2 linked regions of the Oryzias latipes genome follow. The protein of the gene in region 2 purifies or fractionates together with the protein of the main gene of each other region. This does not show direct contact. Links are inferred from orthologs where the notes say so. Each region holds a gene or a part of one and is shown on either strand. Other genes may lie near its edges.

Region 1 (3,772 bases), on a different chromosome or scaffold from region 2:
GCCCGGAGTCGAACCCGGGTTTCACGGACGGAAGGCGCCGCAAACCAGCACGAGCTAAACTGGCTCCCCCACAAATGTTCATTACTGATCTGGTTTATTCTTCTAAAGTCTCAAAAACTTAACATGACCGCTTTCTTCTTAAAAAATGAGCACTCGCCCATTCCCCAGGCGTCCTCTCATAAGACCTCACTAAACAGCTCAGTGGAAAAAGTTTGCTGCCACACGGCCACCTCTCCTAAACACTTCCATATACCCTCACAGGTATGTGGTCGGGCCCAACTGCCGCTCTTCAGTCCATTTCAAATTTAAAGAGTTTTGTGACGTCATGCTTCACAACAACAGCCACCTTTTCTGCTCTGTGCTCCCAAACGTTTTCTGATCTTCAGACCTCCATCACACTCATGGAACTAACTGTCCATTTCCATCCCCGTCCTCGATCACTCCAACATCCTCCATATCCTCCCATTTCCGGCCCCTCAACCTGTATAGATCCACCCTTTTCCTCTGTATTTTAAAGAAAATATGCTTCCCATTTCTGTGGCCTGCAAGTCAGAATTAAGGGTAACAAAACAAACAAATTTCCGCCATTTTTTTAATTTAATTGGGAGTTGTAGTTTACAGATTTGTTACACGTTTCCAACATGAAACAAACAAGAAAAAAAATCTTATTTCATAAAGTTTGAATCAAAAAAGGACATTAGGAAAACCTATAATTTCAAACTGTAAAATTCAAAATACACAACCCCTACATCCCTTAGTTTGCTGTGATTGATGTGAACAAAATGAACGTGTTCTAACTTACCATATGCACAATATTATTTTGTTTCTTATAACTAAACTTTATACATTTCCTAATAATTACATCAGTAGGACTTTTGTAGTCCAGTTAAACATAATAGAGCCAAACAATGCAATGCCTTTATTTTCAGAAACATTTGCTGTACAAATATCCTCAATGGTCTCTAACTAATTACTTGTTCAACTTGGCACATGAGAATTGACCCCTATTTTTCTATATAAATCTCTGATTTGTTTATGACACTGCATGCTTAAAGTTTAGAGCAGGTCCATTTCTGAATATCATTTTGAAACCAAAACTTGATGATTCCCACTTTGTTCTAAAAAATAACAATGAAGTCAGCCACACCCCAAAGATGGACTCATTTTATGTTCAAAATTCTGCCATGAAGACAACACAACAAAGGTCAATCACAAGATATAAAAATGGTCCTTATGATGATCCCCCCTAAAAAAGGGAAGGTGGAGTCCAGAACGCTCAGTCCAAAAGCTCTGGGTGGTGGATGGATGGGTACACAGATTCAGGGAGAACATGAAGTCCCATCCATGGTCCTCTCTAGGTCAGGGTCTCTCCTTTTGTCACCTGCATTCACAAACAGAAATATGTAGCAGCTGCTTAGCATTGAGAATGGGAAACACGGAAGGGCTGTTCTGCTTACTCTGGCCTCTATGTACTCGATCCTTCTCTCCAACGCTGTCAGCTTCTCGTTGAGGGTGGCCAGGCGGGATCGACAGGACATGTCTGTTTGGGTTCAAATGTGGTAAAACCTTTAAAGGTGCTGCTAACGAACAGTCGAGTGACGACAACAATAAAGTAGCATTTGAAGCTTTTTCGGGTTTACAGTGTAACAGTCCCATGGAATTTAGTCTTCATTCTGTTATGTAATACAGCTACCCTGGACGGAGATATAATTTAAACTTTTATTTTGCTCTTCCCAAATTTCAATTCGTAAACCGCTAGCCTGCAAGCTAACTGCTAACTAGGAGTGTCCATTAAAAACATCAACATGGGCTAGCTTAACAAGCTATCGCCATCTTTCTACGCTTTCACGCCGAAGATGGTGGTCGAAACCTTACCGAAAGAGTTCAGAAAGTCGGCGATTTTTTTGATGCTGCTCGTTATGACTTCTATATACTCTCGATTCGCCCAGTCTTGGTGAATCTCCCTCTGAACTGGGTCTTCCTGGCCAGCCATGTTGGATGATTCTCCGCCCGCAGTACCGAGCACCGAAGCTAGCTATCATCCAGGAAGCAGAGGGCGCCGGTCGCAATGATCTCACTGTTTCCAGAGACAAGAGTTTAAATTCTACCGAAGTCTCATTTTCTATTTATATTATTTATTACAAATGTTAAACGAAAAATGCGTTACAGCAGCCAGATAGTTTTTAAGCAAATTCATCACTACTTTCATCCATGAAAAATTCAAAAATGTCAATAAATCCTGTATAATGATTTGATTTTGCATGGAGATACAATTTCTGATTTGTTCTTCGTGTAAGGCTGCTAATCCATGGCAACAATTCCGTCCCACTCCAATGAAAATGGTGTTTTTAACATGTTCCTTTAACATTTTCTCATAATCGAGGAAAGATATCAAGAAAGTTAAGCTTAAAAATGTATTTCTGTGTATTTCTTTCTTCAAAGTGTTGTTAATCATGAGCAGTTGGACCCATAACATTATGTTTGATTGTTTTTAAAGCACAGACTGAAAGAAAAAACAATGTTTGAACTGGATCAGAACCAGCCTGCATTTCAGCTGAGCAGTGACCAGGCACTGGACCGGCTGTTTCACAGCTTTGTTTCATACTCCCACTTTTGCTAGCAACAGCCTTCCAACAGTTTTCTTGCTCCAAGTCTAAAGTCACAAAACTCAACCAGCACCATAGAACTGGGGAAAAATAAAAAAGTCTTCCTATTTTGGGAACAAGCTCCTCTTTGCTAGCTGCCATTTTAATGACTGCGTATGGCAAGAAACTACGGAGCCCCTAAAGGGCCATTGAACAAAAGAAAGATTATGAAGCAAAAAAAAAAAAAAAAAAACTAACTGCACCCGTTAGTATTGGGTGCAGTTTGTTTTTTTGTTTTTTTTACTTAAATTTTTTTTCACCAGTTACTAACAGCCATTAATACAAATAACAAATGGCTTTAGTTTTTTAAAAGCTTTTTGAAACAAACCACATGACTTTAAAACCCATTTAAGATGACGTTCAGAGATGATGTAATTGTGACGGTAAGCTAGCAAAGCTGGAATCTCTTTGTAGACAAGTCAAAAAGCAAAGTAAAACTCAATTAGCTCACATAATGCCATTTCCAGGTAACTTGGAAACATTTCTCCGTGCACAAATTACCTAGTAACTGGTGCGCACCCGTTAGTTTTTCTTTCTTTTTACTTCAATTTTTTTTTTCCTTTTATTTTTTTTTTTCAATGGCCCTTAAGGGGCTCCGTAAGAAACGGACGGGCTGACCTTATTCCAAACAACAGAAGCCCAAGAAATCAGTGCTGGAAAAACACAATCCCAGTCTCCCCCAAGATAAATTGCAACAAATTCGAATTTATCGAAAAATTGATTTTTTTGCCTAGCCCATCAGCAGCCCTCTTTTTCTGTTTAACAGTCTCAAAGTGAACAAAAAGTTGTCCGTAATTTATTTATTTTCTAACTTGTCCTGTCCAACAGCTGAGCAAACAGATGAGAGCCGAAGGCCTCTTGTGTTGGACATATTTTAATGTTACAACGTGAAGTTATGAATCTTCTGACACACAAGGTGTATATTTGAATAAACCCCTTTTGTAATTTAGACAAAACTTTATCTATTAATTATATTTATATTAAATATATAGTTGGAGCGTATGGAAAAGAAGGGAAGAAGAAAAAGGGGTTTAAGGGAGGTGGGGTGGGGGTAGGAGGGTGACTGTGGGGGGGGGGGTTAAAATCATAAAGCAACAAATTGCTGGAAGTTTATAATCATTACTGTC
Region 2 (4,379 bases):
AAAAGTACATACCTTCCTCCTCTTTAGGGTCTAGTTGGGTGACTTTAACCTGCAGACATTCCACTCTTTTGACAAGTGTGTCCACTCTAAGAGCGAAAGATCCGGCCTCAACAAACAGCTCCCCAAAGACATCCTCTGCAAATTTACCTTAAAAAACAAAGAATGTAGCTTAAGACAAAAATCATCCTTTTAAAAAGGCTTTAACCATTCATTTACTGTAGCAAATGTATAGAATGGGCCTCAAGATGTTACTCAATTTTTGCTCAGCTCCACATTCATACTCACTGAGGCTGCCGAGCTGTCGGATGATGTTAGCCAGGCTGATATTGGTGACGCATTCCAGCTCACTGCGGATGGTGGATGGGATGGTCTGGCGACACACATGCCGTGGCTCTATGTTTCTAGTCACCAAAGGCATGGTGGGGGTCGGCAGGTAGGACGGCCAAACCCTGTATGTGTACAAAACACGATTCAGTAATGAACTACATTCAAAAAGGGAAGAAAAAAACCAAAGTGTTTAGAGAGGACCCTCCAACCAGGTTGGTTTGCACGTCTGTTTGTGCATCCTGTTAAATGGTTAGCTATGAAAAATTCACATTCTATAACAGCCAGTGCTGAACTAAAGTACCTCTCTAACAATAAAGACTCTTAACTCATCAATCAGGAAAAGCCAATAAAGATTCATGTCTAACATTTATGAACAGCTGCAGCACAATGCAAAGACAATGTTCACTGGAAAATCCTATGTGGGCATTTTGGGGTTTGAGAAAAAATATATTCTAAGTTGGTGCAACCCTTTTAATCGAGAGGAATTTCTTTGTTTTATTGACAATGTTAGTAATAGTGTTAAAAAATTGGATACAAGATCTATGACCTGAAATACTGATGTAAACGCACAGTTATTTTCAGACTGAAATACTCTCCTTTTTAAGACCCACTTAATGAAAATTGTGTTTTTGCTGTTTTTAATGTGTTCATTTTTCTGATGATTGAGAACGTATATTAAGTAAATTAAGCATAAAGTTGTGTTTCTCAGTTTTCCTTTATCCAAATGATTATGAATCAGGAGCAGACAACAACAAAAAAATGCTGTTTGAAAAAGATCGTCTTTGTGACAGACAATAAAATCGACATTTTTTACAATTGATCAAAGTGGGTTTTTAAAGGCCAAATCTGATCCTACTTTTAGGCCTAAAGAAGAGAAGATTTTAATTCAAAACATTTGAAACAATCCTGTTTTTTTCTTCATTAATGGACTCAAAGCCAAAAATTCTGGCTTTGATTAGGCGTAAGAAGAGATGCAACGAAATTATTATTATTTTTTTTACCAACCTGGGAGAAATGAGTACGCAGACCAGTAGAAGGGTAGGTTTATAAAAAAAAAAAACCTAAAACAAAACAACAACAATCGGATCCCCTCTATTTTTCATTGTAGGAATTCATCACGTTGGTAGGTGAAAGTTTCCCTTTTTTAAGTTGAAGTCACTATGCAAGTACACACTGTTTTTAAAACCAAAGGGAGGCCAAATGGGAGGCAGTGGCTCTGGTGGTGGAGCAGGTCGGCGGTTCGATCCCCGCTCCCTCCAGTCAACTATAATTGTGTCCTTGGGCAAGACACTTCCCCTTCCCTGCCTCCAGTGGGGCTCCACTGGTGTAGAAAAGCGTATGAATGACGAGTGAATGAATAATGGACACATTGTAAGAGCTTTTAGTGCAGATAAATCCAATCCATTAGTATTATTATTATTATTATTATTATTATAAAAATATATATTTTTGAATACAATTTTGAACAAAGAATTCCATCAAAGCATGTGAATTTAAACCATCTCTGTGTTTTGCAGTGATAACTGGCCCTTAAGGACCTTTATAGACAGATGAATAACCAAACTCTGAACTAAACTCTGCAAAGGTCACATGCTTAGGCCAACATGTATAAAAATAAAGAGACAAAAAAAAAGCAGAAGCAAAACCCTGCCAGACAGATTTCTAACTACTGCCTTATGGGAACTCAATAGGTTCCACATGAAGAACTACGAAGCCTTTTTTATACTGTCTACTGAGGCAGCAGAAATCAAATTCTTCATTATATGGTGAATGTTGTTAACGTCCGCGCGCGCGCACATCATGCCTATGACTTATTTAGTTTAGTTTAGCGCGCGGAAAAAGTAAAGATAATGTCAACAGAGATATCTGCAGTGAGTGACAGCAGACCTTCAGAGAACTACTACACCCTGTCGAGCTCCATTCACACTGACAACAACGTGGGCGCTTTCATTTAAAAAAAAAGAAAAGAAAAGTCATGTATCACGGTCTAAATGCTACATGGCTAACTGCGTATTTATTATTTCCAAGGTTTCTACGGAAAATGCTCCGAATTGTTCGTTCCTACCTAAGCCAAGATGTTTAGTTAGCTATCTGAAACCCATGATGTTGTACCTTACAACCCCCCTCCCCCAGTAGAATAATGTAAGTATAACCATAATGTCGAGTTTTGAGCTTTCTCGGATAAACCATAAGAAATAAGGTATTTTTATTCCCACAACATTAGCTAAAACATGCTAAGTGCAACTCGGCCTCCTCGTCAGAGCAGGAAGTAACTTGTAGGCGACTCTTATCTCGAGGAAACAGTCAAACTAACAAATATCTACCCCCGTCACTTTACAAAGAAAACTATTCTTAAGAAAATATTTCACTTACCCGCAGAAATGGCACTTTCACGTTTTATATCCACTCTAAAAATTGTGCTGTCTCCTGATTTTCTTCAGAAGAGTTGAGCGGTACAGTAAACTGTCGAACGATACCAGGAGAGTAAGTCCCGGAATTCTAAACTTCCGATTGGCTGCTGGCAGACTTCCTCAAAGTTGATTGGCTCGTGCGACTGTCGTCTGATTTCACCAAGAACAGGATGTGGACGTTTCAACGTAAAACACGCAACTCCACCCTAACTAGTGACAAACATCTGTCCGCAATTTTCGTAAATTAGGGCGGAGGAGGGATTTTTTTCCAGCTTCTGCTTCAGCAAGTTGGAACGCGTCCGAGGAATGACTGGCATCTGTGGAGAGAAACACATGGAAGATTCTCTTTGGTTATATAGTTCAAAATATTTGATAAAAAGTTTTGACTTTATGGGTTTAAGGATTTTATTTGCACAGGCAGGTTCAATACTGTAAAAATTTATGTATACATTAATTTTTGTATCTATAACAAACGTACACATACTGTATGGAAAGACACTGGATATAAAAAATGTCTATTAAATGATTGGCGTCTATTAATTATGTTTGGGGAAGTTAGAACATAAAAACAAAATTAAAATATGATTAAAATGAAAATATAATATAAACAAATGTAGAAATAACAAATGGGAAACACATTCTCAAATCTTTTGTGAGATATCTTGTGGACAATGGTGCATTTAGATAAATTTGATAAATACTCTTATTTTGAAGACTTATATACAGAAATATTTGCTACAAACAGATTTACTCTCTTTGTTTCCTCTTTCCTTCTTTGATTGTTTTTGAATTTTCTGTCTTGTTACTGAGCCTTACATTTGTAAAAGCACTTCTGCTTTGCACATCTATAACATATGTTTTTGTTCCCATTTTTTAAATATATTCAATAGAAAAATGTCTGGGTTATGTTAACTATTCATATCATAACAGCTGATTGTTTTTGGAGGTGTGCAAGCTTAAACTGTGAGGATACAATCATGTATTCAGCAAAAAAAGGCAAAAAAATAATCAATAATTGCATCAAAGCTTATTCCTTGATGAAATTAGTGATAAGCAATGTCGAATTATGCAACTGGTTAACAATATGTTGTCTTTAAGTTACATTTTGTTTTTAAAAGAAAACATCAGTTGATATTAGTCTATTTTTTTCAGTAATTATTATGAGGAGACCAAATTGGTTGAGAAAGGTCTAGTATAGCGCTGCCAAAATTGTACTCAAGTAAAGCGGCTTTGTTTTTTTTAAAAAAAAGATGACTCTTGATTTAAAACAAATAAGGGAATTTGAGGTTGTTACCAGCCTTTTGTGGGGAAACAAACAATTTGACAACATTTTTATGATGTTTTTACTTTACTACATAAAGAAAGGACTGGAATCCTATGAGATCAAAAGTTTATTCCCAGCATGCAAAGCCACAAACACAGTTAAGAAACTATGGTTTCCCTTTAACCCTTGTGCTATCTAGATGACCCCACCCTTACATTGACGTGTTCTCCCTACCATGACAAAGGTGGATAAAGGTGGAAAGATTTCATGTAATCCATGGACACCAGTGAAGATCACAAATCATTCAAGAAAAAAGGTTAAGAGCACTGTCTAGTGGGTCTAGATGACCCAACTCCCAATGTTAAAGTGCCTAGGAT

What was found.
Region 1: the proteins of wasf2 (region 2) and brk1 purify together in Homo sapiens (co-immunoprecipitation; 3 studies listed by BioGRID and IntAct, with this or other methods). This does not show direct contact. The link is inferred for Oryzias latipes from reciprocal best matches to the Homo sapiens genes WASF2 and BRK1.

What each region holds. Positions count from the first base shown.
Region 1 is NC_019863.2:7,144,554-7,148,325, reverse strand, and holds brk1 (protein BRICK1), read right to left. Parts: upstream 2,499-3,772; 5' UTR 1,994-2,498; coding exon 1,876-1,993; intron 1,541-1,875; coding exon 1,458-1,540; intron 1,382-1,457; coding exon 1,355-1,381; 3' UTR 579-1,354; downstream 1-578. UniProt on the Homo sapiens protein: Involved in regulation of actin and microtubule organization. Part of a WAVE complex that activates the Arp2/3 complex. As component of the WAVE1 complex, required for BDNF-NTRK2 endocytic trafficking and signaling from early endosomes.
Region 2 is NC_019869.2:21,800,273-21,804,651, forward strand, and holds the start of wasf2 (wiskott-Aldrich syndrome protein family member 2), read right to left. Parts: upstream 2,832-4,379; 5' UTR 2,701-2,831; intron 450-2,700; 5' UTR 419-449; coding exon 286-418; intron 148-285; coding exon 13-147; intron 1-12. UniProt on the Homo sapiens protein: Downstream effector molecule involved in the transmission of signals from tyrosine kinase receptors and small GTPases to the actin cytoskeleton. Promotes formation of actin filaments. Part of the WAVE complex that regulates lamellipodia formation.